Drosophila melanogaster: one gene and its partners. The protein of the gene in region 4 interacts with the protein of the main gene of each other region in a pairwise test. Each region holds a gene or a part of one and is shown on either strand. Other genes may lie near its edges.

Region 1 (10,495 bases), on a different chromosome or scaffold from region 4:
TAGCCATGGCTATCCATGCCCCGTTATGCGGCCAAAAACTGCAGAAACTACCAAATCCACTACCAGCTGCCAGCTGCCAAAGAAACAGCTGTGGCAGCCGCACCAGATGAACAGTCTCAATACCAATTGATTTGCCAAGGATTGGGTTTTTAATTCAATTTAACTAATTCAATCAAAGATTTAACTGCGGCTTGAAATGTATCGTAAATGTATTTAAGTTCTTCATCTCATACATCTTCATACACCGATCAGCATTTATTTATTTCTTTAACTTTCCTATTGCCTTTGCTGCACTGTGGCAGCTGCAACGCTTCGACAATGCTGAAAAATGTTATGTTTGTGGATCGGATTGCTTACATCTTTCATCTCCCACCCTGCCACACATTGTAAAGCAATTAGTTGTTTATAGCCGGAGCTGGTATTTTCTTTCAAGATGATCGTTTAGATCTGAAAAGTGACCTCTTCTGCTGCTAAAAAACGCAAGTTCTGGCCAGAGAGATCAGAACTCACTTTACGGCAAATAAAGTGACAGAAACCTACTTAAGTCCGACTTAATCTAGTGCACCAGTCATCTACTGTAATTTGCTACGATTTGCCGCCCCAACAAGCCCAGTACTTTCACATGGCGGTCTCTTCCTTTTTGCCACATCCATCTTGCCACATGGATGTTTACGTAAAGATTCGAGATACTACTGACAAACAATTAGCATAATCAGCTGCCGCAATGGATGGTAAATTGTGCCAATTTCTATAATTTTGAAATGCGGCAGCGCCTGTCGACTACTTTCCACTCAAATTAAAAAGCGGTCGGCAGCTTCCGCACTCACTGGCAGATTCGCATTTTCATTCGTCACTTGCATTTGCATTTGCATTTGCATTCCCAATGCCGTACCTCCTCCTCCCATCGGGATGGTGATCTCTACGCCTGGCCATTTTGCACGGGGAATTCAGAAGTGCGCCGTCGATCACATTGTTTTGTTTGAACCTTTGGGAAGCCTTCCAATTTGCTTTCAAAGTAAGGCCATTCAGGGAATCAGGGTCTTTTCCCTGTCCCGGAATCTTATCAATCATCCAGTACTTCCTTTCGCTGTGCCGAAAAAGTGAAAAGCACCTGCTTTAAGATCTGAATAAACGATTGCTACGTCCCAACAATGGACCCATAAAACGTCAGCTTCACCAGAAACCACTCCACAACAAGCAGCCACTGTGTAGCACAGATCATATAAACTTATTTTATGTACAATGATGCTGTGCATTTGAGGATCTTGTTGCGCTGAACTACAGGTATAGTCACACACCCAGAACTCTTGCCATGCTAACTACTTGACTTGATAGGGAAAAGAGAACTCTTTGGAATGGCGAGGGCCATCATCCTCGCAAATTTCCTCCGGGATTTTCCCCGCATTTTCCAATTGCGTGCCTGCTAACAATTCGGTGTATTTAATTTAACAAAAATTTGTTGTAACACTCGTGTCAAAATCGTTCAGCTTTTAGTACTTCAGTTACGCCGGATTTGATGCTATTTTTATGGCTTTGCTGCGTGACTTCCGTGAATTGGCCAAATATTCGAATAAAATGGAAAGAGTTATTTGGTTTTCAAATTAATTTCTTTTCGGTTTAATCATACAAAAATACAAGTACATAATATAGGTAAATCAAGAAGCACATTAAGACTAAATATTGCACACATGATCAGCAGCACATTTTCTTGGTTAACAATATAAACAACATAAAAAAAAACGTCGTACAAAATAATGAAAAGCGAATGTGTCCCGGCAGCACCTCTTCGCTAAGAAAAGAAAACTATGCCTATCTTTAGGCGCCCTCTTTTCCGGCCAAAAGTATGCCTTGGCTGTGTAGCTCAGGGATTGCGGGTAGGTGTTGGATGAGATTTGGAGCTGGAGGATCACCCCGGGATCGTTCTGCTCCTCTAGCTTGGAATAAATACTAATGAGCGGATATCAGGCACAAGAAGCAACCACAAATTGTGTGTTAAGAATACGAGTGAACGTGGGCATGGCACTCACTGGAATTTTACTGTCTTGCTGGACTTGATCCCCATATTCATAATGTACGGATGTTTGAATTTGTTTTAAAGATGGCTTGCCTGGATATATACATAGAAAACGTGCGTAAGCGATTTAAAATTTAATTCTAGAATTCTAAGGCATCCGAAAAAACCTTTGATAAAATCGTTTGAAGATTGCCAAGTTTAAAAATTGGTTTAGTTCATCCAGGCAGAGATAGTGCGTTCGGTCAAATGAGTTTCCATGCCTTCGAACATCTGAACATTTATCCAGACCTCAGCCCTCGAGCAGCTGTGTCGTCTTGTATTCGACAGCCGAACCCATTTCAGCGCCCAGTTTCTCCCTCACATACTCCCTGATCTGTTGGAGTCCCTTGTCGCCCGAACTGGGACCCACGTCCCCATCCGCGGGTTCCGGCTTGGCCGCCCTTTTGCCCTGGCGCATCTTGATCGCATGGGCGTGGTAGTTGAAGGGGCGTTCGCCCTCAGGCTGGTGCTGGTGCTCCTCGATGTTGGTGGTCTGCTGTTGCGGTTGATGCTGCTGCTGCTGGTAGGGGTACGGATTAAAAATGACCTTGGTGTGGGTGGGTCGTGGGTTGTTTTCCGTTATGGGAAGGCTGTGGTCCGCCTCCGGTTCCTGTTCAGGACCACCTGAAGGACCCGTCGGTGGATCAGATTCTGGAACGTATATTGGTTGCTGCTGCTGCTGCTGCTGCTGAAGATGATGATGGTGCTGCTGATGATGGTGCTGCTGTGGTTGCGGCTCCGGTTCCGTTTCCGGCTGGGCCATTGCTATCAGATAGAGCTGAGGCTGCTGCTGCAAATGGGATTGGGGCTGAGCGTAGTAGAACTGTGTGGGCTGCTGGTAGTCCATGGGCGCGTAGTATTGTTGCGGCTCATATTGTTGCTGCTGCAGCTGCAGCTGTTGCTGGTGGCGACCCTTGTAGCTCTGGTAGACATCATCGATGGGTGCGTACTGGACGGGTGCCGGCGTGGGTGCCAGTTGGTGGGCGTAGCTGACTTCCTGATGGTAGGTGGCCGGTTCTGGTGGTCCATATTGCTGCGAAGGATCCACATGCTGATGCTGCTGTTGTTGTTGCTGCTGATCGGCCTCCTGGAGCAAGCTGAGGTACTGGGCCGCTCTGATCTCCAGATATTGCTGGAGAAGGGTCTGCAAATGGGCGGCGTACTTGGCGGGTCCTGGAATACGCAAGACAATGACGGGCTCCTGATATCCCCCGTGGCCACTGGAACCACCTGCACCACTGGGACTTTCCGCTTCATCCTGGGGCAGATCAATCTGCGGCTGCTCGGGAGCTGTGTGCTGCGGTTGGGTTTCATAGCTGGTCTGGGGCTTAAGCTCGTAGGAGTACGAGGGCTCAATGGTCACGCTGGTCACTTGCTCGTGATTGTGATGATGTTGCATTGCCGGCTGGTGTGCCTCCTCCTCCTGCTCCTCCGGATGTGGCTGTGGAAGGGCAAAGCCCGAGGGAATATCATGCTGTGAGTATGGATAGAACATGAACTTGGGCGGCGTGTAATCATAGCCAGGATGCGAGTAGCCGTATCTGTTTGGATATAGAAGTTAGATGGGTTAATATCTGGTCAGTCAAAATGCTGTCATCCATGGTCTCACCCCAAATCCCCCTCGATGGTCCTCTTGCTGTTCTTGCCGCCGCTACTCGTGGAATTATCCCTCTCCACCTTGATCTTGATCTTGTTTCCGTGCAGTTTGAACTGCTTGTCCAGCTCCTTAATGAATTCCAGGTCATCCGCCGGCAGATTGCCAAATGTCTCGGTTAAGGCCGGTGCTTTCGTGGGGCTCTTGGTGGTTGCCGATGTGCCGATCTTCACGCGTGGCTTACTGGGCTTCAAAGTGGTTGCTCTGCTGATGGAAATCGGAACTGTGGTCGGCGTTTTTGTTGGTCGCTTCTTCAGGGTGGTAACCTTTTTGGGAAATCCATTGCCCTTTGAGCCACTCGCCTCTGACTGGCTCAAGCTGCTGGCCAAGCACACTATAGCACTAAGAGTGCCCTGTGAAATATAGACAAACACAAGGTAAAATGTTTATCAATTTTATAGGACTTATACATTTAACTAAAGGAATTGCTTTTTTGATATTATTTAAAGCTTAGCTACCAGCTTGCGAGTTGAAACAAACAGGAAGTCTATCGAAGTTAGCTTTTCAAGAATTTGTAACGATTTAAAAATGTTCCAAAGCTGGAAAGACATTAGGTTCGTTGTCGGAATCAACTCAAATCAAATTGTGAAAATTGTTGGTTTCGTTTTGGCCAATCTTGGTTCGGGCTCAAGGTAAGAGGCAAAGACAATAGAGGGTGACAAAGGGGGAGTTGGAGACAAAAGCTGTGGTCCATCTATCGCTCTCAATATCGATCGTTAAGCCATTCGATGCACAACACACGCTGAGAAGAGGTTTCACATTTGACATTTCGTCAGGCGAATTGGTGTTGTAATTGAATCTCGATGTCTTTGAGTTCGTGTCTTGAGTCTTTTCATTTTAGCGCTTGTCCGCAGTTCGTGCCTTCAGTCATTTGATTCGCAAATGGTGGTAGATAACACTAATGGTTCGGTTTTCATCGATCAAATGATGATTATCTGGGTGACGATTATGGGTTACGGTCGCTAACTGTTACTGATACATGCGAATTATGGGTTATTAGCCTGATAATGTTTCATTTAATCCAGTTTAGGCTAGGTTCTTGTCATTACTGATCATTACTCTTTAATTTCAGATTTACGGTTCAAATCGAATTAGCCCTCCAAGTAGCAAAATAGTTTACTGACTTTGCATGCCATAATTGCAGCATGCGCCTCTCCCAGTTTTCCATGTGCAGCAATAATTTCGTACTTCGCTTGGTTAGTTAAGTTTTAATTGCACTTTGTGACTCGATTATCCAGTGAGTGAGTGAGTAAGTGAGTGTGTGTGTTATGTTACCCGAAACTAGGACAGTGTGTCAAGTCATTTTAATAGTCGTTGTCGTCTCTTTACTGCTGGTTGCTTATGTAGCAGTTGTTATTTAGCCTAGTCGTTAAGCAGGAAGAGTTTTTTTTTTGGCACACTCGCCTTGCCACAAGTCAGCCGCAACAGCGAATAGCTGCGGATTTTTGTCAAATGCTAGCATGAGCTGTGGGACCCGAAGAGCGAACTGCTTTTATGTAACCTCCACCGCTCATACAGAAGGAGCAGAGCAGCAACTAGTTAGATCTGTCTTCGTATTGATTTATCTTTACCAATTATTTTCTGTAATAATTTAATTTAATTGCATCAAGTCCCGAAGTCGCCTTGCCTTTCACTTGCCGCACAAAGAATCGAACCGAGTGGACGGGTTGGTGGGCGATTTTGCGCCAGAGATGAGATTCCCATTCCCGCATTGCAAATTACGAGCTACAAACAACGGCAAGTCGGGGCAAACGATCGTCACGCAACGCGTGCAAATTAGTCGGACTTGGATTTTTGCCCAGTTTGTGTGCTGCGGTGTGTTAGTTATTGTTTCACTTTCGTTGTTGCATCACCAGCAGCAGCAGCAGCAGCAGCAGCAGCAGCAGCACAGCAGCTGCTGCAACATCAAAGCCAAGCACAACAATAAAATGTAAATTAGACGTCTACAGATTATCCTGCCAGTGGCTGAGCGGCGCCTTCTCCCCCATCGGATGGGGCGTAATAACTTTATGTAACCACACGAGTGGCGACTCCAGAAAACGAGTCTTTCCAGCGCTGCGAAGGAAAAGACTACATCCAAATATGTGGATAGACTAACAATATGTACGAATATTAATAAAAGTTAAATTAAGCTTCTCGTTCGAACTTCTTTGTTGACATAGTTGTAAAGTGCCCTTATAAATTAAATACACGCTATTGCCTGACATTTAGGTACTTTAGTACGTTGGTTCAAAACTTACTTACTTAATATATCACAAGATGATTTCTTTTATGAGTAATGCAAATAAATATTTATAGCCGCTTGATTCAATGTGAAGACACTTTACCACCTACCACCCCTTAATTTCGTTCAGTGTGCACATTTGCGTAAACGAATCTCTGCTGGCCACTTCGGCAATCGCCAGATTTGTGATTCTACCATCTTAGCGTCCAATTAGTGGGCGATTGACGCAACTCAACCCCACTACTCCTCCATCGTGCTGCTTGATAGATGGATCTGGACACGGACTGGCAAAGTGGGCAAGGGCAGGGTCAGATAGCCGAGAAGCCGAAGGGCAGGAGTCAGTGGAGCGAGTGAAAAGGTCAAGATTATCGAGATATGGAGACACCATAGACAGCGGGAGTTGGGAGTTCATTGTATCGTACACCTGGTCGAGTTGGTTGAACTGCAACCACTTTCTAAGCCGGCTTGGCCAGCACTGCACCACTTGAATGCAAATTAATTTGTCAGCCGACGACTAGTTTTTATCCCGCACAAATTGCACAATTCGATTGGTGGGTGGGTCTATTTTCCGGGTTTTCTAAAGGAGATTGTATAATCTTACTCCTACTCTTACCAATATTAACGCTAATCTCATGGCGATTCCAGGTATCAATGCGCATGCACAGCGACTTTTTCACAAAATCCGAATTTGATATTGACGTTATATGTTATATGTAATAATATATGCACTTTTCAATACATTTGTGTCTTCGAGAACCACAAAAACAAAAAATACCAAGGGTACACGGCCGGGCTGGTGGGTTTAAGTTATGTTGGTTATAGTGTCTATACGAATTTGGTTTTGATTTTCGTCTCAGATTCGTAGTCGGAATCGGAATCGGAGCGGTGCTAGCGTTCAAAAGTCGCGCCTCTTACTGCGGATGGCGCTGGCGATGCTCGCGGTTTTTATATCGCAAGCACAGCATAACAACTTGGTCTTCGGGTTGCATCAAGCTGGAATATCGGCTTCGGAGTTGGAGTTGAAGTTGAATTTTTGAAGCTGAAGCTGAAGCTGAAGCTAAAGCTGAAACCAAAGCCAAAGGCGAAGGCGAAGGCGTATTGTGGACCGGGGATCGGGAAAAGAAGACCGAAGTTCACCACCAATGACACCGCACGTAGCTGTGTGTGACTGAAGGTGTAGGTTGCCTGGGATTGCCGCAACTGTAAACAAAGTGCTGGAGTACTTTAGATGCTGGTCAGATACAGAGAGATAAAATGCGGAGAAAAAAAAGTTGCGGAATTGGGAAGATGTAGTTTGAGGCACTGGAATACGAGTAGGGGAGATGTTACAGATGTGCCCGTTTAAATATTCCTGCCCACTTTGTTCATTGAATAGTTTCCATTGCCATCTAGGCATGGAGCTTCCCGTGCTGAGAATCATAGATGATCGACCTTGATTCGCCATGGGAGAGCAATCTTTCACAAAGGGCCATATATATATATATTTATATATATGATTGTATAGTAGATAACCAGATATGGAGGGAACTGGGAAACCTTTCCAATTTCTTTGGGGACAAAACGGCGACGCTTTTGTCTTGGCTTTTCCAGTTCAAGTTCAAAGCCATAAAAATATTGGCGTAACTTTGGCTTATGACAAAGGCCTGGACTCAAAAGACCGATTCCGGGGCCTTTCATTTCGGGTGAATACGTTTTGGGTTCATTATTATTATTATTTCTGTATTCCGCTGGCCCGCATAAAGCCACAAACCAATCGAAACAGAAACTGAAATTTGCATGAAAACAATTGCAGAGCATCCCATCCAGATGGGAAAAAAAGAGAGTGCCGGAGGTCCGCGAGTAGTGGCACTTTAATTGGCGCATTAAGTTGTTTTCGCTTGGGCTTGGCCTGGGATTTGGAGTGGCTTTTCGCTTTTGGCTTTGCCCAGCGCCAAAGGAGAAATGGCATAACAAGAGTGGCGTTTGTGTTCGGATCGTCGCTGGTGGGATTTGGTAATCCATTTTGTCAAAAGACACAAGACACGACACTAAGCGGACCGAGATAACGATAAAAGGCCGTAGATAACTGAACACTGCAAGCTAAAACCCAAAAACATCATTCGCAATCACGAGGCGGCACTGTCGAAAGTGTTTTTGCCGCCTGGTGGTACCCTTGCATTCGAAATGTGTTGGCCGTTTCAGGGTCGTCGACAATCTCCGAAAGTGACATGGTGAAGAAAGTGCATGTGGACAAAGAATCGAAACATGTTTGTCCATTTAGGTTGAAATAGGTGATGTTTAATCGCTTTGACTCTCCTCCTTTAGGGTCTCCCTCTGTCGGCTAGCTATTTCGATTAAGTTCCCATTGATGGTCGCGCATCGATAAGGAGAATACGCAATTGAAATGCTGGTCAGCCCGCCAGTTCGATGCTCTTTTGTGCTCGGGCACTCCGATCCATTCGATTCCGCCCAATTCCGATGCCAACAATGACCGGAGCGAATCAAAGCCGCGGCTAAGAAAGCATTGCCAAACCAAGCGGCCGAACCTCAACGTTAGCTCGATTTCAACAATTCAACTAGCCATGGCTCATTGTTCAGAGGTGCAACAATGTCACTTAGTCAGCCGTCATAATGCGGCATTATGATTATTTATTGTGCCGGGCAAGTCCCATGCTGATGAAGAGGCCTACGGATCGCATCGCACACAAAGCCAAAATCGAGAAGGCTGACCGTGGGCATCCTCCACAAAGCGCGACCCTTTCTTTATCAATTCGAATGCGTATTTACGATCGAGCAGACGATTTATTTCGGCTCGTTCAACTGGAGCGAGATGTGACCCCACGAGAAGGTCACTGGCTTTGGCTCAATACAGTTCTCTATAATGCGACAGAAACATCGAGATTTTATATGCTATTTCTCTCAGTGTGGTCTTCGCCATCACCGGAATGAACGGCAGCCAGGAAATACCCTTTAAAGCAGGGCAGGGCTGCCCGTCATCATCATCATTATCATCCTTATTTTCCGTCTGTCGTCTGCATATTTAATGGGTGACAAACAATGCAGCAATTTTGTGCTTCATTAACAGCCATGAGATGGCCAAAAGAAGCGCAGCTCAGCGAAACGAAACGAAAAAAAAAAAAAAAAACGGCAACACAAACAACTGCCACAACTCGAAATTCGCAAGTTGCAACTGCAGCATCTTCGCTTCCTACTTGCATAAATCTCCACCTGTCCGTCTTTCAGTCTCGTGTCTTCTGTCTCGTGGATTTCGAAGCCGCATCTCTGCATCTCCGCATCTCCGCATCTCCGCACACTGCCACACAAATCATAATTTTGTGGCCACTCCGAGTGGCATCGCACCGTAATTGTTTGTTATTGCTGGCTGTTTGGTTTATGGCCGCGATTACGTGAGTAAAACCTCTGGGGGAGAGTCCAAGGAATCGAATCGGTGGCTTTGGGGCTCAACTGGCTCATTGACAAAGTCACATATTGCACATTTGATGCGATTGGCTTCGCTTTTGGCCCGCGATGGCCTGGACTGGCCTGGCTTAAATGGCGAGCTGAAGAGTTGCAGAGCTGGGGATGCGGCTTGTTGGCCATGTGTATGCTGTTATGTGATCACCGATCAACTTTATGACTTTAGGAGAAAACTAATTTCATCACGAGACTGATGGCAATCGGTTCTATATTCATAAACATTCGAACCCGTAATGACACCAAAAGACCCCATTATAAGGTTTAACAAAATACAATCTCATTTTTGCGGCAATAAATATTCGTATTTGTAGGTAAATTAAGAAACAAAAAATTAAATCGTACGCTAAGCCCGAACTCGAACTCTAAGGTTCGGGTAAGGTTTCCTTGACGATTCTCGACCGGTCCTCCTGGGAATCTCGCTTGTAGAGCCTCAAGTGCGCCGGAGCGGGATACGCGAGTGTTTGGCGTGCGATGGGCGTGAATCCTTGCTGCGGCTGGTGCTGTCTGATCAGGCGCAGTACCTCCCAGCTGGGAATGTACGAGTCGATCAATGATTTCGAGGAGCGTCCAGCAAACAAATCGGGCGTGGGATCCGGTTGCGATGGCCGGAATGGCCTGATACGCTCCGAACCCGGTCTCCGAGTGGTGAAGCTCACAAAGCTTGGGGGATACGGTATCGGAACCCGTGGCCCATTCGCGTAGTGCCGCTGGGGGGGCTGAGCGGGAGCGTAGGCGAACTGTTTGGACTGCTGGACCAGCAGGGGCTGACCCGGCAGCTTGTGGCTGGTTGCTCGGTTGCCCTGGGCGGTAAATCCGTAGATGAACGGCGCTCGGGCATGGGGTGGCGGAAGGGGGCGTGGCACTGGAAGGGGCAGGGCATTACTGGTTACATATGGAATGGGGCGCAGCCCCAGTTCCAAGTCGTAGGGAACTATGGGATTGGCAAATGGAGTTGCAGAAGAGGCCACTTTCGTCGTCGCTGCCGAGGGCGTGGGAGTGGGCGTGGCAGCTGTGGGACCACTGGAAAAAACGAAGAGAAGCTGATTAGCGAACGGATTAAGTCCTTTAAATTACAGCAATCATTTGCTTCATTTGTCGGAAGCTAATG
Region 2 (6,989 bases), on a different chromosome or scaffold from region 4:
AGATGAGATGTGGGCAGGCACATTCAACGGGAACAGCTTGAAAACAGAAAAAAGTTTTTCTCCATACTTTAATTAAATTTGTGTGGTGGTCCAACTACGTGGTACAATTCCATAGCATCTAAACTGTTCCACAACATGTATTTCTATAAAATACGAGAGAAAAGGGTATCGATTGCACATTCCTTACAGAGGCCGTGTACAGATTTGAGTCTGTTCAAAATGTTCCCTCTTGCGTTTAACAATAACTCTTGATTTGCAGGCTTTAATTATGGGCAGGTACATTCAACTGCACCCATAATGCTACAAGACAAAAAATATTTTGGACATAAAATCACAAATTTACATGTATTGGGCGGGCCCATAGCGCCGAGTTGGTATTCTCTGTAGATTATCAGTCCATGAAAATGTATTTCTACAAAATACGAAAGAAAAGATATCGGTTGCATATATCTTAGCTTTTACGCTTGTTCAGTTGATTAGTTATGCTTCTTTGCACATATTCTAATTGAGGGATTGATGTCGCAGGAGCGTTGTTTGGGGCCATAGAATTGAAGACCTCAATCTTCCGCCTCGCTAGATTCCATTTATACATGCCCGCAGGCACCGATCAACTGCGATGCAACGCTATAAAAAAAAAAAAAAAACGAAATGTGATGGTCGTGCCTAGTCTACAAACTCTTTGACGCCTGCTTGCGCATAGATTTGCTGGAAAGATCCTCGTCTGGAGCCCTCAAGACCGTGAATACTTGAAGACCGCAAAGCAATCCCATCAAACAAAAGCACCCACAGGAACCGATCAACTGTGACATGCAGCTACAAAGATTTAAGCGGCCTTATCTAGCCTATTGATTAGGAAGATGGGGAGTTTGAATGGAAAGGGGTCCAATAATCGCTTGCCAAAATCACAAACGGTGAAAGAGAAGTCCAGAAAAGTGTACCGAGCGAAGACAGAAAGATAAAAACTCGACGACTGCCTTTCAATTGTATATCACAATAACAATCGCACACGGTGTTCACCCGAAAGGATTACAGCAGTTCCTCAATGTCGTTTCGATGATAAATGAATGCTCCGCTGTTCTTTTCTCTGGAATTTTGTTTAAAAAGCAATATTTTGTTCGCAGCTGATATACCAAATACCGTGTATCTGTGCGGATGGGTGGGTGGTGATCAGCAGCTGCGAAGCGTTCAATGCAGAATAGGTGGTGATTGTCGGTGGTTGGCAACAGCACGAGAGCTTCAAACGCAGGTAAGCTGATGCGAGCTGGAGCTGCTGCCGCGCGCATTCCGCCTTGTCCCCAATGTTCTGTCCGCTGCGACTGAATTGCATGGGCATTGGCATGCAGAGGAGACTCGGTGGTGTTTGCTGCTGCTGCTCCCTGCTCCGGCGATCTGTGTAGAATCGGCCATCGGCTGGTTTGCGGAACTCAGTGCCTGGCGGTGGACGTGGGGGGACTCGGACAGACGTTGAGACTCACTCAGTAATTCTACAACGCAACGTCATCGTCACTGCGACGATCGTGTTCGGGATTCTTCTTTACCAGTACCAGCCATAGTCGAACTATTGTTGCTACCGGGACGCGGATTCATTCAGTGACCCACTGCGACGTAGTTTCTTGTTTGTGTTCCGTTCCTCATCATCGTTGCCATTAACGTGCGAGGAGCAGGAAACTGCAAAACAAAATTGATTATAGGTGCGGGTTATGTCAAACGGGGAGAGGGTTGGTGCTTGCTTAGCAACAAATCTGAGTCTGGTCTGGGTGAATAATAAATAAAGGCAACGTTGATTTTAACAGTTATTAATTATAATAGTTTTATTTTAGGTTTTATCAAATATCAGTTCTGTATGCTTACTTTAAGTACATTTACAGTTAATAGTTGGGTTTTCGACTTTCACTCGTTTACTTTGCAATATTGCCCGTTTTCTAGCGCTAGTGATTCAATATGAACCGTATGTAACTCGCAGAAGTGGCGATGACGAACGTTCGAATTTAATTCGAAATCGAATTTCTCGACACATCGGACAACAAAAGTAGCTCAACTTGGTGTACACAAAAATAGCACGAGCGTTCATGCTCACACACCATCGCGACATGTAGATGTGTTAATGTGTATGCATTGTGTAAGTATATCGAGTTTTTTTTTTCTTTGTCTGACCGATTTCGTGACGTTTGGGATGCCTGTAAGCGACGTCTTATTTCGCCACACTCATTAAGCTACGTAATTTAACTAAAAAAAATATACTTATTTACAAACCGAGTGTGCTCCGTGACCAATGCTTGGTGGGCTTTTCGCATAGATGGTGGCAGCGCCCATGACTCACACCACTTTCGATTTGAAGGCCGTTTGCTCAGCGTCTCCTCACACTCTTCCAATCCTTCATTCTTTCTTTACAATCTACAACAGCCTTGCACATGTTTGCGACTGCAAATGAGAAATTGGTTGTCGTAATAAAACTATTTTAACAGAAGACAAATAGGGCTAAAGCTACGTATTTGAACAATGGTATACGGTTTGATTCGAACGGGCAGCTGAAAACTAAACGGTTCCTTCCATCCTGACGCCATTTTGTTTATATAGATGTGTGTGTCAGCCACGCATACACATAAAGTACGCACCATACGGTCGTCTCTGTCTAACTAACTGGCCACGGCAATGGCGCAGCTGTGCTGCTCATTGTTGCTGTTATTGTTATTGCTGGCGCCCGTGTAACTGTTGCTCCCATTGTTATTGTTGTTGCATGTGTCTTGGTTGCCATTGTTGCTGCTTAAGCTACGCATAAAACTGTCGAGGCTACTAAGCTCGCTGCTCCATAAATTGCTTTCCGCCTCTGCTTCTGCGGCAGCCTTGGTGGTCGAGGTCGCCACTGCAGAGTACGCGTCACTGGCGCAGTGCGTTCTGCCGTGGGGCACAAACCGTGTTTGAATGTCCAGCCAGCGACTGAAGCGCTCCTGCTGCTTTCTACGCAGCTCGTGCTCTGCGTGGAGCAGGGCCGTCGACAAAATGGCGTTCACGCGTAGGTCGCTGCCAGCGCCTCTTAGCTTGCGACGCATTTTCTGGCGCTTAACGCGGAAGTTACGGACCCAGTCGGTTAGGGTCTTGGGGTTCTCGGCTGCGTCGCACTCGTCGTAGTACGCCACCATTTCGATGATCTCACAGGGTTTTTGTTTGCGACGACTCGAAGAGAAAATTGAGAATTTGGTATACACACACCTTCACTTCGTAGTTGCTACTAATCTCTTAGCGGACTGCTTATGACTGTTCTACACAACGCACTCTTTTTAACTGGGTAGAGCGCGTTGTCTGCGCGCCCTTTTATAGCTCTGCTCGCAAATCTACGCGTTTTTCTTGTCTCAGCCAGCAGGGAAACTGTTTTTTGGGGACGATTTCTGCTCGAATGCTGGCCCTACGGATCGTGATAACCACACAAGAACACGGTCTCGTTTCTTGAAAATCGATGTCCGACGTCATATTTTAGTGGTCTTCATGGGCATGGCAAAAAACTTCAATTCAAAGTAGTGGTTTTTAACTTAATTTTAATGAGTCGTCCATTTTGTATGTACAAAAAATCCTAAAAAATACCGCAAAAGTATACTGACTCAGTATATTGGTTGGGACAGTCTAACGAGGGGTGATTGATGTCTTCTATGAAATTGTAACTATAATCTGCGCTCTACATTGATCTGTTGATCTGTTTTGCATATAAGAGCAGAAGAGAACGATAAGGTCCAGTTTCTCGACTATGATATACCCGTTACCCAGGAAAAAAAATATATAAAACATTTTGGAGAGTTGCTGTGCATTAGATGGTATACCGGTAGAAATTGGAAATAGACTAATAAAATAAAAATAAAATAATGAGAAGAATAAAACCAAAACACTTTTCATAAGTGGAGGTGTTGCAGTTTTGGCCGGCTTCATAGATTTTTAGAATGGGCGTTGCCACATCTGCTGCCTAATATAAACTGTATACCTTGTAGGTACTTTTCAACGGACCTAGTACACTGCAAAAAATCCCTATAATTATGAAAAGGCAGCGATATATGTCGAAGTATGGGACATCCTCAACAAAATACTACCCCTAACTTACATGTAGTGTATTTCGAGTTGAATATGGCAAAATGCCAGGGCTGGCGTCTAGAGATTGGTTGGCGGGCTATTTAACAGTATGTTTTATATTCCTACGCACCTTGCTAGCCGCTCACTCGTCCGTACCGCAAGTAGACCTACGATGAACAAGTGCGAAGTGTTGGAGGCACTGGAGGCCGAGATCTGGAACGATCGGTTCAGTTCGACGTACAACTTAGCTGCCGTCGGTCGTGCACACAATTAACATATCCAGTGGCGGATCAGTGGCAACTGCGAAGGTGGAAAGTGGGGGGAGCAGCTGCGAACGTGAAAAATTAGCACAGATTGCCATTGCCAGCGGTGCGAAGAATCCGCCAGACATCCAGATATTCCAACAAATATCGAAGTAAACCGATCGCACAAGAGAACGTCGCCACACATGCAGCAATATCACACAAATTAGGGGCACAAGAGATTTTGAGTGTCCGCACATATTGGCCTGGGGATAATTATTTGCGTGTCATGACTTATTAGCGATCGCAGCCTATCTCCGCGAATAAGTGTAAGTAGTCGACCCCAACAAGAAGGGTGGGCCGACCCGAACAGCAGCCGGAGCCAGCTGAACAGTCGCCCGACTCGGCCGCATCCAAAAGTTTATTGTTGTTTGGTCCACGGGAGTGTAAACAAATCGGCGCAGACAGAAGTGGCGGCGTTAAGATGGAGAACGTGCGCTTTTCAATTATTGTAAGTAAAACGACTTGGCCTACATGCCTCGCGCTTTCAGCCGCCTGCAATTCTTTGTTTCTTTTTGGAAGGAAAACGACTTGAAGTGGAACTCGGAAAGCGATCCGACGGCGGATGTAGACTTGCTCTTGGACAAGCGGAGCATATCCAGTGAGGCCAACAGCGCCGGAGTTTTTAGCGACGAGGCGCACGAGATATTTGCGCGCCAACAGCAGAACCAGATCCTCTGGGACCTCGACGAGGTTAAGGAAACCCTGACCGAGTCTCCAGGCGGAAAGCATGTCGTGGACATGGTTCAATCTGGCTGTTTCCTGGGTGAGTACCTCACAGCACGGTACCTAACATATCCCAGACTAACCCCCACATAGAACTAATGACCGACTCTGCTGACTGCAATCTGGCGCTGATCTGCTGCTCGGTATTCGGGAGCGTAGAGAATACTCTCTTCCTACTAAAACACTACAACGCGGATCCGAATGTGGCGGACAGTCGGGGTCGGACCCCACTGCATTTCGCCTGCTGTCGGGCAAACGCTCCCATAGCTAAGGTTCTCCTCGACTTCGGCGCTGACCCCAATCGCTGGGATGCCAGGAAGGAGGTCACGTCGCTGCACTGTGCGGCCAGGTAAAAGGCCATTCATTTGATTGCGCTTCCCACATGTGCACAGCACTAGACACGTAGTTTTAATCAAGCGACTCCCTATTAGCTCAAAAAGCGTTGAATGCATCCTGCTGTTGCTGCGGCGAAAAGCGAGCATCAACATTGGGATCGAAAAGCGTTCCGCTCTGCACTATGCCATCGATGTGAATGCCGTGGATTGCGTTGAGATCCTGCTGAAGTACGGAGCCGACCCAAACACACCGCAGGTGTACACTGAAACTCCACTGCACACCGCCAGCGCCGCAGGATTCGCCAAATGCGTCCAGCTTCTTCTCAGTCACAACGCCGACGTGCGATCGCAGTTTGGCGAGGGAAAGGTTACGGCCCTGCACTTGGGTGAGTAGTGGCAAGGGGTTTACAAGTGCTTTGCAAAATAGATTGGTAAATCCACAAATTGCAGCTGCCGAAAACGACTATGTAGAATGTGCTCGCTTGCTCCTGGAACACCGTGCTGAGGTGGACTGCCGTAACGCCAGCCATCAAACGCCCTTGCACCTCGCCTGCCTTTCGCAGTCAATCGGCACCGTGGATTTACTGATATCTTACGGAGCCAATGTGAATGCCGTTTACCGAGATGGTAGAACCGCGTTGCACGCCGCCATCGTTAAGCAGTCGCGGAGTTTGGACTGCTGCAATGCCTTGCTAAAGGCGGGAGCGGATGTTAACAAGGTAGGCGGCAGATCACTATGAGAGCTGATCACAAAAAACCATTATTTAATATAATGTGCTTTTTCTACTAAAAAGTATTGTAAATGATAATGAAGATATTAGTATAAACCGCTTCGCTTTTCTTAATGAGGAAGGGTCAACGAAATTAATTAAATTACTTAATCGTCAAAAACGTTATTTCGGAATTTTATTTTAATAAAACTATAACCAAACTGAGAACTAGGAGCAATAGCAGCCGAGGCATTCAGTTTGTGAGACAACGACAAGAATTTTATATAAAGGCTTATATTGATCTTTATCTGGCTACTTACCATACGCTTATATCCTACATAAAATATAATTTTATAAACTTTTATAAACGTAAGCTCCTAGCTCATCAACTAAAGTGAATGCATACGGGAAGATCGGTTCAATTCGAGCATACCATGTTATAACATTCATTAAATGTTGTAAATCAAATAATACAATACAGTAACTTTAGTGAGAATACGTTGCATACATACATTTGTGTAGGGCTCCAGTGGCTCTTTACGTCATTCTTAGAGTGAAACCTAAACTAAAACTAAACTAAAATCTTAACAAACATGGAGCCTTCTTTGTAAAGTTTTACAAAAGTAAAGCCATAACGTTTTTTTTACTTACGATTAGAATAATGTATGATTATTACTTACAGGCAGACAACTATGGATATACACCACTGCACATTGCAGCACTGAATGAATTCAGCAGTTGTGTGTACACGTTCATAGGCAAGGACATGTATCATCTTTTCAACGATGTCTGCATTGCTAAATGGCCATTTTTTTCGCAGAACACGGGGCGGATATTACCGCCAGGACGGACGGGCGTGT
Region 3 (6,893 bases), on a different chromosome or scaffold from region 4:
AAAATTGAGTTTTGAGTTTTGATCCAATCCTTATTGCTGTATTAAAATTAAAATTAAAAAGAGGCAAACAAGTCAATTGACCAAGTCAGAAACGAGTTGAGGCCTTCGAACAAAGACCGGATCAACCCTAATCCCCGCTGCAGCCAACTAATTGACTTATTGAGGGCCTCATTAACCCAGGCCAACCTGTACTGGTCCCGCTCCATGCTGGTACACAACCGACTTTCTTAAAAAAAAAAAGGGAAACGCTAAACGATGAATAGAACTCAGAACCAGGGGCACATTAATCAATTCCAATCAAACAATGAGCGATTCAGTTGAACTCGAAATGTTTTCCGTAAACAATAAGGATCTGGCCATCAATGAAAGTGAACAGGTTGGGAACTGAGAACTGGCAACTGAGAAATGGGGTATAAAAACCGAGAAATGAGAATTAAGAACTGAGAATCGAGAACGGAGAACTGAGAAATCGCTTAGGACAATGCAGAGGAAATGGTCAGGATCATGGGGTGTGTGTTGTTGGCTCAATCAATGCCAGCTAAACAAGTGTTATGAATGATATGATGTTTTCATTTGTCCCCGCGTTTTTTCGTTTTATTTGATTTTTTCTTTTTGGGAAACCGAACCCCAAACAAACCGCACAAAGCCGAGAGTGAAAAATCCCTGATAATAGTTAGGGTTTCACTTTCAGGGATCTCGGCAGACGAACTGGCACCGTCAACAACCGCAGCCGGTATATACGGTCTAAATGTGACATGATTAATGAGGATCCACTGTACTCCGTAGCCCCCTATTGTCCAGACCACGGATTTGTGTAAGAAATGCTGAAAAATGTTTCAATAAACTGTCGCAGTTTGCAGGCTGCTCAATGGGAGGTCGTCCCATTCTCTAGGAGCTCCCATCTGACTAATAACCGGTTTTGGAGATACTACAGTCCAGAGACATTAACAACTTAATTGACCAACAGAATTATCTCGGATACCTACGTTCAAATACGTTTATAAATTGAAAACCGGCGAGCACTCATTTGCTATTATATTTATGAAACAAGTCTTGTATCAAAAGTCAATAAAAACTTGTATTTTAATCCCAAGATTCTTCTAGTTAAAAATAGAACATCAAGAACATTATTTTGTTATATGTATATGTTTTTGTTCTACAAGATTCCCAAAGCCCGATATTAATTCTCCATATCTCCTCCCCATTTTGTTCCCACAGTCCTTTCTCCAGATTTTTTTCGGGCGTGACTCTGAGGGGGAAACAAACAACAAATAAGAAACAGACGGGGAAAAGTGGCAAATTTTCGAACAAATTTAATTTCCGGCCTTGGGTCAGCTAGATTGGCAAACATCATTTATCATCTTGGGTCAATGGAGCAGGTACAGAAGGAACAGCCACAGACAGGGGAGAATATGGACTTGGCTCTTGTCCATGTTGATTAAACCATTAAACGAGCCACCAATGGCTAGCAACATTTGAATCTATTTGAAAAATTATATTAAAAAAAAAAAACATGCTCGGTGTTCTACGATCTTTATGTAAAATTTTCCCAGAATTCCACCAAAAGCCAAAAAAAGGATAGGGCTGTAAAAAAGGATTTTAGAGGACGCAAAAAAGAGTGAGAGTGCCCACCGCCGCGTGTGGGAAGCGTGTGTTGTCCGCCCAGGTAAATCGTCCTTGACTCCTGGTCATTGCATAAAATTTGCTAAGCAGTGGCCAGGTAGTGCTGGCTGCAGATGACTCAACTGAATGCAACCCGCAGAAACCTCAGATGGTTACTGGGAAAGGGAAACACGGCATAGAGCGTTTTGTCTTTAGCCTTTTGTATTTATTTTAGCGATCCCAGCTCGAGGGTTTTGGTTTCATTTACTGGCAATTTAGTTATTCGTCGGAATCGCTGGGCGTGTTGGTTTTGGTTGACGACTTGGGCTTGCGGCCCTTCCTTATCACCTTGGAGGTGGCCTGCGCCTGGGCCCGAGGCTCAGGGTGATAGGGAGCCACCTCTTGCTTGGAGTCCTCCTGGGGAATCTCTTCGCCATGGCCATCGATGAATCCCGAATGACCCGTCTTACGCTGTGGCGTTTGAGTGACAATCCGTTTGCCCTCGCCCGTCCAGTAAACTCCTTCGATTTCACCCTCGCGAACGTGTTCGATGGCATCGTGGGCATCTTGAGGCTCTCGCGGCTGCCCGGACTCCCGGGGATCCTTAGCATCCGCCGTCTCCTCGCTTTCCAATTCACTGGTTTCTGGCTGCTCGAAATTACCAGACTTGCCATCATCCTGGCTGGCACTCATCCGCAGCCCCCGCACGTCACTTAGCTCCTCGTCAGTGAGATCCTCCATGGAGATCTCCCGAGATCTGGGCACATACGGCTGATCCTCCTCCTCGTCCTGTTGCTCCAGCTCCTGAAAGTCCTGCTCTTGTCCCTCGCGAAGTTCCTGTTTTTCTTGCAGGGTCTCTCGCAACTCCTTCAGCTGCATGGCCAAACGCTTACGAAACTCTTCGTCCTCGTCCGCATTAAAGTACAGGCTTCGATCACCCGCCAATAGCGGTAAGAATCTGGGCGGGACAGGACGACCGCCCAAGAGACTCAATCGGCCATGGATCAAGCGACCCAACAGATCCAGGCAGCGGTTTTTGGGCGCTGGAGCTGCCTCCAACAGTTGCTCCACGTGCAGGCTCTTGTGGTGCATGGATTTCAGGGAGTTAAGCAGGATCAGTGTCCTGGAACAGCTACTCTTGAAAATGGAACGTTGCATTGTAACTCAGTGGGTCCGTACGCCGTTTAATCTGTATGGAATATATATTTTTGTTGAATTTGAAAAGTTGTACGTGTAGTATGTTATTTTTTACCTAATATATATTGTATATTTAAACAGAAAAGGAACGAAAAAAGAGCGGAACGAAAAGTTATTTTCAACGGTGAATTTTATATGAAAATTTTGTGAAGCCTTGACTTTGTTCGAAATTGTAAACTTTTGAGCTCGAATATATTTTGGGTCTTGTCGAGTCGGTGCTCGGAGAACGACTGGGGATCTGGGCGTAGCGTTGTAGGCCCCAAATGTTTGGGCAGCTGACTTTTGAGGCAGCACCTACTGGAATGCCCCGCCTGCTGCTTTTCCGTAATCCCATAAAACAATTGACTTTCTAACCGTTTTCGCAAATAATAATAAAAACGGCATAAAAAGGGAGGAAACCCGGGTATTTTCGGTGGAAAAAAAAACGGGCATTAAAGTGCAGGACGAAAAAGGATTTGCTGGGGTTAGAATTCGCGCGAAATTGCATCTTTTATGGCGCATGGCCAGCGCTAGGGTTACGTGCTATATAATAACCCTAGCCCTAAAACGACTACCTGCCACGCCCCCCGCCCATGGCTAATTATGTCATTTGGCGTAAGTCAAGGCTGCAAAGTCAATTGCGAAAAATGGGTAAAAATCTGACACAAACGAGCAGAAAATTCCATAAAAATGGTTATATAAAAAATCCATATATGGTTAGGGATTAAGGGGTTGGCGGTCTGCAACCGAAATTGTCGTCTGAAAATGATAGATTATATTGATAGAATCACTGAACATAAGCAGCAGATTCACAGCTGGACCAATCGTACCTAAATCATACACGTTAGAAGGTACGATACGAGAGGTGAAAACTTGTTAATAAAACAGGTTGTCGGAAAACTAGAGGTAATCTCCATTTTGATGTGCCTCCATCTCACATTCGGGGCTCATAAAAACACATAGAAAAATGTATTTCCAAGCCGACCTATAACCCCTGCTTGCCCATTTCCCCGCCAACATGTTGTCGTCATTGTCCAGGACAATTTGCCTGCAATATTGCGTTGACAGCCACGAGAAATAATAGCCGAACAATTTATACAATTTATGAGTTTGTGTGCCACATACACATCGGCGGCGGAGGGGTAAAGTAAAGGGGTGCTTTGGGCCTTGGTAAGGGTTACCAAAAAAATGTGTGTAGCATACTTAAGCGGGCGTCGGTGGGTGGTGCTGGATCGAATGGCAGATTGCCCAAAAAGAGAGCGAAATCACAGTCGAAAATCATAAATTCGGCATGTCTAATGACAATTTGCAGCTCCACATGCGGGGTAAAATAAAAGTTGAGAGACCGTTTTTATCGTTTTTGATTTTCTGATGCTGCGCCCTTTTATGTCAACGCATAAAAGTCGTTTGTTGTTTGGTCCAAGGTTTTTAGGGCTCGGGAAAATGGGTTTTCATAGCATGACGACGCCTTACACCGCCGACCAATTCGGAAGTAACGCATATAATATGTTGACCAACTAATAATTCTCTTTAATATAGAACCATCGAAACTTTTGCTTGAGATGCGAAAAGAATCACGAGGTTTTTAGCTGCGAATTAAATACTGTAAGGATACGTAGGCTTTTGAAAGGTGGAGACCATTTAAAATGAGCTTGTCGTAATACAATTATGGCTTAAAAATACCCTGAAATGGTTACTGGCAGCTGCCGGAGGTCCTTCTGGGACATTTATGAGGCCAACGGCTGGTCGATGCCAGACGCATCCGCAGTATAAATCAAACCCGTCCGAGGATCCCTCAAACATCCCATTGAGATCTTATTGTGGACTGGAACTGAGCTGAAACTGAACTGAAACTGCGACAGAAGCTGGTCTGGAGATGAGCCATCCATGTGGCCATAACTCATCCAGCGGAGTTGTTGGCCACCGAAAATGAAGCAATCAGGGCCGAGAAAATGGTAACAGCCCTGGGTAATTGTTGTTTGGCATTTGCTATTTGGCATTGGCCGATGATGTCACCGCACACGGAGAACGAGATGCCGGCATTGTCGTTTCCACTTCCTGGCCAGCCCATTGTCTCCTTCGAGATTTTACGATTGTTTACTGCTGCTTCTGTGCCCTGACTTTTGGCTTCCATCAAATGGCCAACAAAGCCCACAGACCGAAACCTAAACAGAAACAGAAGCACATACCCATACCCACACCCATGCCCATGCCCATACCCATACCCATTCCCACTCCTATACCCAAACCAAAAACCGAACCGAACCCATTGTGGCCAAGGCACTTTGGGCCATTCAGCAGCTCGTGGGTGTTCCGATTTCCAGCCCCCTTCTTGGCTCATTTAAGTCCCGATAAATACGCATTTGATTTGGGTCCTGATGGGGGACAACAGATAATAGAATTCGAATCGAATCGGTCCAGCTTATTAAATCAACCCTTTTCTGCCCGAGTCCCTTGTTTACCCAAACTATTAGCTGCAAGCTGGCGGGGATTTGCGGCCACTGGCCATTGAAACTTTGACCCGGGAGGAGGGTTCTGGAAAAAAAAAGGCAGCAAAAACAACACAAAAATTACGTAAACGTAGCAAAGGACCATACACTCTCTGTGTGTATATTTATGTTACAATACGTATTTTAGAGCGTTTAATTTTTAAAAAAAGGCATCGTTCCCCCCAGAACTAAACACAAACACAAGATGGACATCCGGATGCATTTTTAAAATTAAATAACTCAGAAACGTGCTCTATATAATATCAAATATAAACTAATTATCTCGACACAAGCTAGCCGCAATTTCTTAGTTTGACATTTCACACTTGCTTTGAATAAGCACTGTTCCGCTTTTTCAATGTTGATAATTTCATAAAAGTGACGCATACACAATAGTTGTAATTAAAAACTATAGTTTCTCATAAGTGAGTGCAACTCTCGTCGAAAATTGAGTAATACCTTCTGGACAGAGTATCACTTGAAAGAGTGACATAAAAATAAGCATAAAACTAAATGTGCCACATTGAGGAACGGACAAGGAGTTGGACCCAAGGGGTTAAGGCCGGGTCAGTTTGAGGCGTTTAAGTTGATTTCGTTTTGAATGTTTATTTTATTGCGTGGAAAATGACGCCAACGTGGCCAAGAAATGGTGACTGCTCTCCGGCTGCTGTTTAGCTGTTTACCCCATTTTGACCATTTCGCCATTTTGGCCATGGCTAGGTGGACTTGGCTCCAGTCGCTTTTATGGCCGGCGATTGTATCGAGAATTTCGTACGCAATAAAATTCAAATATACTTGCGATAAAAATCAAATCTTGTTGGACATTCGAGGCCCCCATTCCACCGATTTGGCGACCCAATTGGGGGTATCCCATTGCGGCTGTTATGCGTTTCAATTTTCCCTTACTGCCGTCGATTCAGTTTTATTGGGTCTCCATCTGGGCGCAATCAGATTGAATTAACAGCGTATAAGATATTGGCAACGGAGTGTCACGGCTCGCAAAATCCGTTCATAATCTCTCTAGCCTGATCTTGAGAAATATTATTTATATTTATATCGGGCAGCCAAATGAATTGAAAGTATAATACATTACCTATATTGCGAAAACGGGTTTTTTGAATCCTATTGAGCGTTAACTAAATGTTTTCATATTAAAAAATGTATTAAATTGACATGCCCTGGGCGTCGATAAAATACTAAATAAAGATGTATTTTCGTGTAATTTGAAAAAGTTGAGGAATCAATTATCCCGGCTTGGTGACAACTTGAAAAGGACCGATGCTGTCCGAAAATTCCAGGAAAGTGACCAACTGCGGTTAGTGATAGGCAGGCCGTCAGTTAGGTTTCAGGTTGAGTTTCGACTTCGATCGTTGTCGCTTTCGGTTTCTTGGTTTGGACTTCGATTTCGGCTGGGCTCGGGCTCCGACTTGGAGGACGCAGATACTAATGAAGTGCTCGCTGGTCCTCTAGTGGTATCCGTATCTGTAGCTGGGCCCCCGGGGCGTTGTCGGATGCATTTGGCAAATAAAACACCTACCGACAAGCCCGATACGCCAGATATATGGCAGATAGGAGGAGGCCCAGCGTGCCGTCCACACAAAAGGACAACCGACAACCGAGTCGACT
Region 4 (6,048 bases):
ATTCTTTACCCAACTGGTTTGTGCACCAGTACTGCTACATACACAACGATATGTGTGTGAATAAATTTCCACATCATACTAATATAGGCTAGCATATAGATTTACAATTAAAGTGATTGACTGTTCGACTGCCAGCACTTGATGCATGTCGAACACTTCCAGTGAGTGCACAATCATTTCTGTGACTAAGACATATTCATAGCACAGCTAGGGTGTTTTCTATTATGAACTATATATTTTTAAAGCGTGCCTATGTATAAATAACAACTCCGGAGACTACCTAAAAGTAGTATAAACTTTCCATGCGGAAGTACGTGTATAGCTAAATCCCACCCTTTTGGATCTTATTCCGAGGGTTCGCTTCGTGGGAATCAAACAGGTGCGCTGGGATTGAATACAACAATTCGAATCAAAACTGTGGGTATACGAAACTCATATATAAGTCGAGCAGAAATTTATTTAGTCAATTAGCCAATTATGGAGTATTGCTGGGAAATAAGCTGAATGTTTTCTTTTTTTTTTTTCTAATTTCAAATTATAATGCTGCCCCATTTGTGACAATTTGTGTCAACTTTCTTAATGGACGACACTAATCAATGACTTAAATTACAGCGAGGAGCGCGGGCTTTATCAATGCGCTTGCACAGCGATTACTCGTATTCCATATTTACCTGTGTGAGGAGTAAACAGGCGCTATTGATTGCCTATAGCCATCGGTTCAATGTCGCACCGCCACTCACATGCAGAGCAATGCAATTAAACTGTAGCTGAACGATAACCTATTTAAATTATCCATATGAAGCGCTAGAAACATATGAACGTCGGAATGACCTCTCGACTTTTGATTAACATTAATAAGTCCGTGGGTTAACTGTAAGTGGATGTAAAATAAAGAAGCTAATGTTTTAATTTTTCAATTAAGCATAATTAAGTATTTTTGGGGTTATTGTGGGTATTTACCTTTTACAAATAGGATTAGCAATGACGAAATCGTGAAATCTTTCCGAGTAATGCATCCCAGCCCCGAAATATTTCTCCGAATTCGGCATCAATTATTCTTTCTCTATACATGATTTTCTTTTATATATGTTCTGAAATCCATGCACGAAGGCGCATTCAAATTTATAAACCTTTCCCCCTTACAAATTATTAGTCACTAGTCACTTGACAATATTTTATTGCCAAGGTGGGCTTTTATAATTGCCGAATGAGTCATGGACAATGTATGTTGTATGCGTATTAAGGGTGCCAATAGATAACAAGGTAATTTAAAAAGAGCAAGGTGCGATAAGACTTGAACCCAAAATCATGCCACTTGTAAACTTGGTCAGACAAAAAGGAAACCAGCGAGTCCAGTCCAGTCCAGCACATGGTCAAATATTTAAATTGGCATCGTAATCAGCGTGGCTCGATTTTATGATTGCTCTGGCCCATCGCCATCACCCTTTCGAATATCCTGGCACTCCCCAGCGGCCATTAGGCACATGCGACCGTTTCGGAGTCACGCGCCGTGCCACATGGACACACACAAGTGGACTTCTTCGGACAAGGTTTAACAGCCGACTTTCTGGCGCTGCGTTGAGTAAGCCAAAGGAATTTGGTTGGGAATTTCAAGTGGTGCCGCCTAGGCGTAGGGAAAACGCGACTGGGTTGGGCTCTTTCGAAAGGGGTTCGTGGTTAATTTGTGCCTTCAATTTGGAATTCCTAGCTTCGCATGGCGGTAACAAATTCGTTGAAGGAGATCTTTCCATCTTTGTCCTGATCAATGTCCTGGAACAACTCGCGCAAGTCCTCTTCGGACATCTTCTCGCCCAGGTTGGTCATCACCATTCTGATCTCGTTAATTGTAAAGCTGTTCACTTCGCTGCGATCGAAGATTTTGAAGGCCTGCTTTAGGCACACCAGACTGTTCTGCTCCTCCAGCCGTTTGCTCATCACGTATAGAAAGTCCTTGAACTGCACCTGCCCACCGAAGTCGGCGTTACTTTCGTTGGCCAGGTCGTAGATCTCCGCCTCGGTGAGACTCTCTCCAAGGGCCCGCATTACTCCGCCGAGCTGTTGGACGGAAACCCATCCGGACCGTTCCTTGTCATACAAACTGAATGCTTCTCGAATTTCTTCAATCTGGGCCTCGGTCAAACTGCCGCTCATTGTTTCCAAAGTGATTTTCTTTTTTTTTTTTTTTTTTGTAGTGGACTAATGTTTCATGTGCTTTTGTCAGTGTGAACATAAAGAATTTAAACTGAACACAGACAGAACGCCGACTTTTTGTTGGATAGAAATCAAGCCAGCCTTCTATACGAGTACTCACATGGAGGCTATCGCATTGTCATCATGTTGACGAACTCCTCGTAATTCAAGTGATTGTCCTGATCCAAGTCGTACTCGCGTATCATTTCTTCCAACTCGTCGTCGCTGAGCTTTACGCCCAGCGCGGTGAACACATTTTTTAGCTCGGTGGTGGTAATGTAGCCATTGTTATCCTTGTCGAAAATTCGGAAAGCTTCGCGCAGCTCGTCCTCATGGTTGGTGTCGCGCATCTTGCGCAGAATCACATTGCAGAACTCCGGAGCCACGATGGATCCGTTTCCCTCCGAATCCACCTCATTGATCATGGACTGAACCTCGGCGTCGTTGGGCTGGCGACCCAGGGCGCGAATCACCACCGCCATCTCTTTAGATGTTATGGCGCCCTCGTTGTCCTTGTCCAAAATACGGAAAGTGTCAAGGATCAGGACTCGCTCCTCATGCGAAATATCCTCCATCTTAACTGGTATATTATAGTTTCTCGGAAGAGTTGTATATTGCTCTGTTTATATGTAGGTGTCAACTGATGTTTGGATGAAACAAGGTCCTGACATTGAACTCAGTGAAATGTGAAAAATGGTAAAATGAACATCCCCCGGTGGCTTCACTGCGCTGCACAGTGCACAACACCGAATGGCACAAAATCAATATGCTCGTTATATAAGCGCAGTGCCGCACGGACAGAGTTGATTGATTCGAATGTCCTTGGGCGAGGAGGCCTTGCAGCTGATCGGTTTCAATTGCGACCCAGCAACGGACGTCAGCTAGTATCTTTCGTTGTTCGTTAACAAAACAGAAGGAGAGTGCCGTTCGAGGAAAGTTAAGGAGTAAGAATGTGTACAATCACCGTCATTGTTCCAACGCACACTCAAGAAAAAAAAGGCTCATCTTTTCGCTATTCGAAATACAAGAACTCAACAGAAGTTTGCAACGCCAAAATATTTGTGTAGAATGAAAACAACATTAGTGAACTTTTATAGTTCCCGAGATCTCGACGTTCATACGGACGGACAGGCAGACGGAAGGACAGACGGGCTTATCCAGATCGACTAGTGATCTGGATGAATAACTCCTTTAGCTTCACGAGTAACTGGTATAAAAATGTAAATGTAAGATTTTGTTCTTGATTGCTTAAACTTATTCGTAAGTTTTGCTATACATTAAATAATCTATCTATGAATCAGCATACCATACTATTCATACTTAACAAGAGTGTTTTGAGTGTACTGCCATACAAGTGTAGTGGTTGCTATCGGCACAGAAAGGTTGTCATGCGATTTGGGTTTGGCGCCTAGCCTGCAACTTTGGCGGCTGCCTTTTTGCCGCAGGTTAATTCCAGTGCTTCTCCCCCTCGGCCCTTTCACCTGACCGCAGTGGGACACACCTGACACCGGTTTTTGGCTGCCGGAGGAGTGGTAGTGCCCGGGGGGGTGGGCAGAGAATGCGGCACGCTTTACTCTGGCCACAGTCTAAGCAAATAATAGACAAGAATTTGACATCGGCACGAGAGGGTTCCATTGTGCGGCTCATTTGATTTTTGGTTGTGTTTGGGTATTTGTTTGGGCTAGTTTCGGCGAAACAGAGGAAGTGTGCTAGAGGGCCATAATGGAAACATATCTCACATGTGTGTTTCGGAATTGTTCCTATGACGAGGCAAATTCTGGCCATATTTTTTGACCATTAACGCCGCCTGGCCCGACATAAATAATTTTCTAAGAGTGGGGTTCGGGAACCGTATGTCAAAACTTAAATAATAAATCTCTTGTTTATTTCTTGGATAAACCAAAAATATTCATTTATTGCAAATTTAATTTTTTTTCTTGCAGGAAAACCTCCGCGTTGGCTTGGAACGCAAAAAGCTCGAAATAGACCCAAAGTATTTGCTTCTTCTGGGCTTCACCTCGTCAAATGAAGCTACAGGCCAACAGCAGCAGCTGGATCAGCAAAATGTGGTGGACATCGGTTCACCAGGTCAGCAACTGCCAAAGACAGATTTTTCAGCGCCGGCTACAAAAGCGGAACTGGAGCTCAGCGAACTGCGAGGTCTGCGGCGTCCACAGGATGCTGTTACCTTCGGTAGTCAGGCAGGAGATCAAAAGGGGCAGCGGAAGCGGATCACGACGCCGTACAACGGTACAAAGAGCAACTTCACAATCGTCAGCTATGTGCTGGAGGGGCAGGCCGCATCGGCCATCCTGCTGGCCCAGAATATTGCCGCCAAGCTTCCCAGCGAGTACCTGCTAATCTACGATTTGGGCGTTTCCGAGGAGCAACTACGGGATTTGGGCGCCTACTGTAATAACAGCCGATGCTCGGTGATCACCTATGATCTGTCGGAGTTTCCCTCCTTCGTCGCCGATCAGCGGACGCACGCCTACCGGCCCATTGTAATTAAGGACGGTCTTATGCGTGCCCGATCGGTTCTCTTCTTGGAAAACAGCATGCGCGTGCGCGGAGGTTCCGCCCAGCTGCGAAGTCTGCAGAGCATCGTTATGAATCCAGGAGTGGGAAAATCTGCAGTCAAGTCCGCTGGAGTGCTCGGATGGAACACAGCGACGGCGGTATCCTCTCTGACGCATCCAAAAATGTTCGACTACTTTGAGTCGAAAGCTGAGGAGTTTAACTTTCTTCGGATGGTCGACCTGGATGCTGTCTTCTTCTCGGACAGCTCCTTGGTGGCCGAGAAGATCATGCTTCCCTGGCTGAAGTGCTGCCTCACCCTCGAGTGCATCGATCCGATCGGTGAGTCGGGTGGGATGGGTGGTGGTGGTGGTGGTGGCGTCATAGGGATATGTAAAACTGTCATTAGAAATGTTCCTCAGTCACTGCCTGACGCCAATATAAATCAATCAAACGTACGTTCAAACCTCCAACCCCCAAGCTCTCCTTCGGGGCTAGGCTCGTGTACTAATAACTGTCATTTGCACGGCATTCCGTTGATGGCACTCACATCGGGGAAATTTATGTAATTACCACCTGAATTGGGATTGATGGCAAAAGTGACATTGCCTTTCTTAACGAACAATTCATTTTTATTCGACCGGCATTTCCCAAACTAAGTAGTCAACAATACTCACTTTTTGGCTGGTTATTACATATAATGCTTACCAAGCATAGGTGAATTTTTAATAGAAATAAGCTTTCATTTCCTTGAATTCATCTGAAATGAACTCTGTGTTCACTTCCTGGCACTCCTGGCGAATTAAACACAGAGCTCATTTTTAATTGATGAATCCAAAGAAAGAAAATGCTTCTTTTCCAATTTCATTCATTTTCTCGCGCATGTTATATGCAGTCAAATGCTCATTTCTGTATCTTCATTGATTGACTAGATTCAGATACTTTATAGTCGACAAATTTTCGGTTAAGGATCAAAGGTATTTGGAAATATTCCATTCGTTCGTTGCTCGGCTTCAAAAAGTGTTTGATAACAGCGTGATATCATTTTTGTCACATCGAGTGCCTTGTAAGCCTTTAATAATTCTCGTGTGTAGTTTTCAAATCGAAGGGGGGATGTAAGGTTCTCAAGGGTTTCGGAAATGATTTTGGGGTAACGAGAATACAAATTTACATCTTTGTGACTTCTGTGTTTCGCTTCGCAATCGCTTTGATTGGGCTTAGTTATGGAGATTAATTCCCTTTTTTCTGAAACAGGTGCTTTTAACTTTCTTTTCTTGAGATTTTCCATATAGTATTGTCGTTGATTCAAAAAATTTCTTTTCATTGTCATTTCCATTAGCA

The links.
Region 1: the proteins of azot (region 4) and CG11380 interact in a two-hybrid assay, tested with the Drosophila melanogaster proteins (one large-scale study listed by BioGRID).
Region 2: the proteins of azot (region 4) and CG33229 interact in a two-hybrid assay, tested with the Drosophila melanogaster proteins (one large-scale study listed by BioGRID).
Region 3: the proteins of azot (region 4) and CG1324 interact in a two-hybrid assay, tested with the Drosophila melanogaster proteins (one large-scale study listed by BioGRID).

The regions. Positions count from the first base shown.
Region 1 is NC_004354.4:1,187,763-1,198,257, reverse strand, and holds CG11380 (uncharacterized protein), read right to left. Parts: upstream 6,951-10,495; 5' UTR 6,566-6,950; coding exon 6,545-6,565; intron 4,061-6,544; coding exon 3,663-4,060; intron 3,595-3,662; coding exon 2,304-3,594; 3' UTR 1,598-2,303; downstream 1-1,597. Other genes in the region: CG14626 (uncharacterized protein), read right to left, coding at 9,750-10,407.
Region 2 is NT_037436.4:220,405-227,393, reverse strand, and holds CG33229 (uncharacterized protein), read right to left. Parts: upstream 3,543-6,989; 5' UTR 3,141-3,542; coding exon 2,637-3,140; 3' UTR 1,789-2,636; downstream 1-1,788. Other genes in the region: pyx (pyrexia), read left to right, coding at 4,783-4,809, 4,881-5,124, 5,178-5,433, 5,516-5,805, 5,870-6,138, 6,812-6,887, 6,950-6,989.
Region 3 is NC_004354.4:20,732,940-20,739,832, forward strand, and holds CG1324 (uncharacterized protein), read right to left. Parts: upstream 3,022-6,893; 5' UTR 2,855-3,021; intron 2,792-2,854; 5' UTR 2,761-2,791; coding exon 1,882-2,760; 3' UTR 1,516-1,881; downstream 1-1,515.
Region 4 is NT_033778.4:7,946,606-7,952,653, reverse strand, and holds azot (ahuizotl), read right to left. Parts: upstream 2,816-6,048; 5' UTR 2,766-2,815; coding exon 2,319-2,765; 3' UTR 2,189-2,318; downstream 1-2,188. Other genes in the region: CG30378 (uncharacterized protein), read right to left, coding at 1,705-2,151; CG34431 (uncharacterized protein), read right to left, coding at 5,672-6,048; CG14764 (uncharacterized protein), read left to right, coding at 4,134-5,049.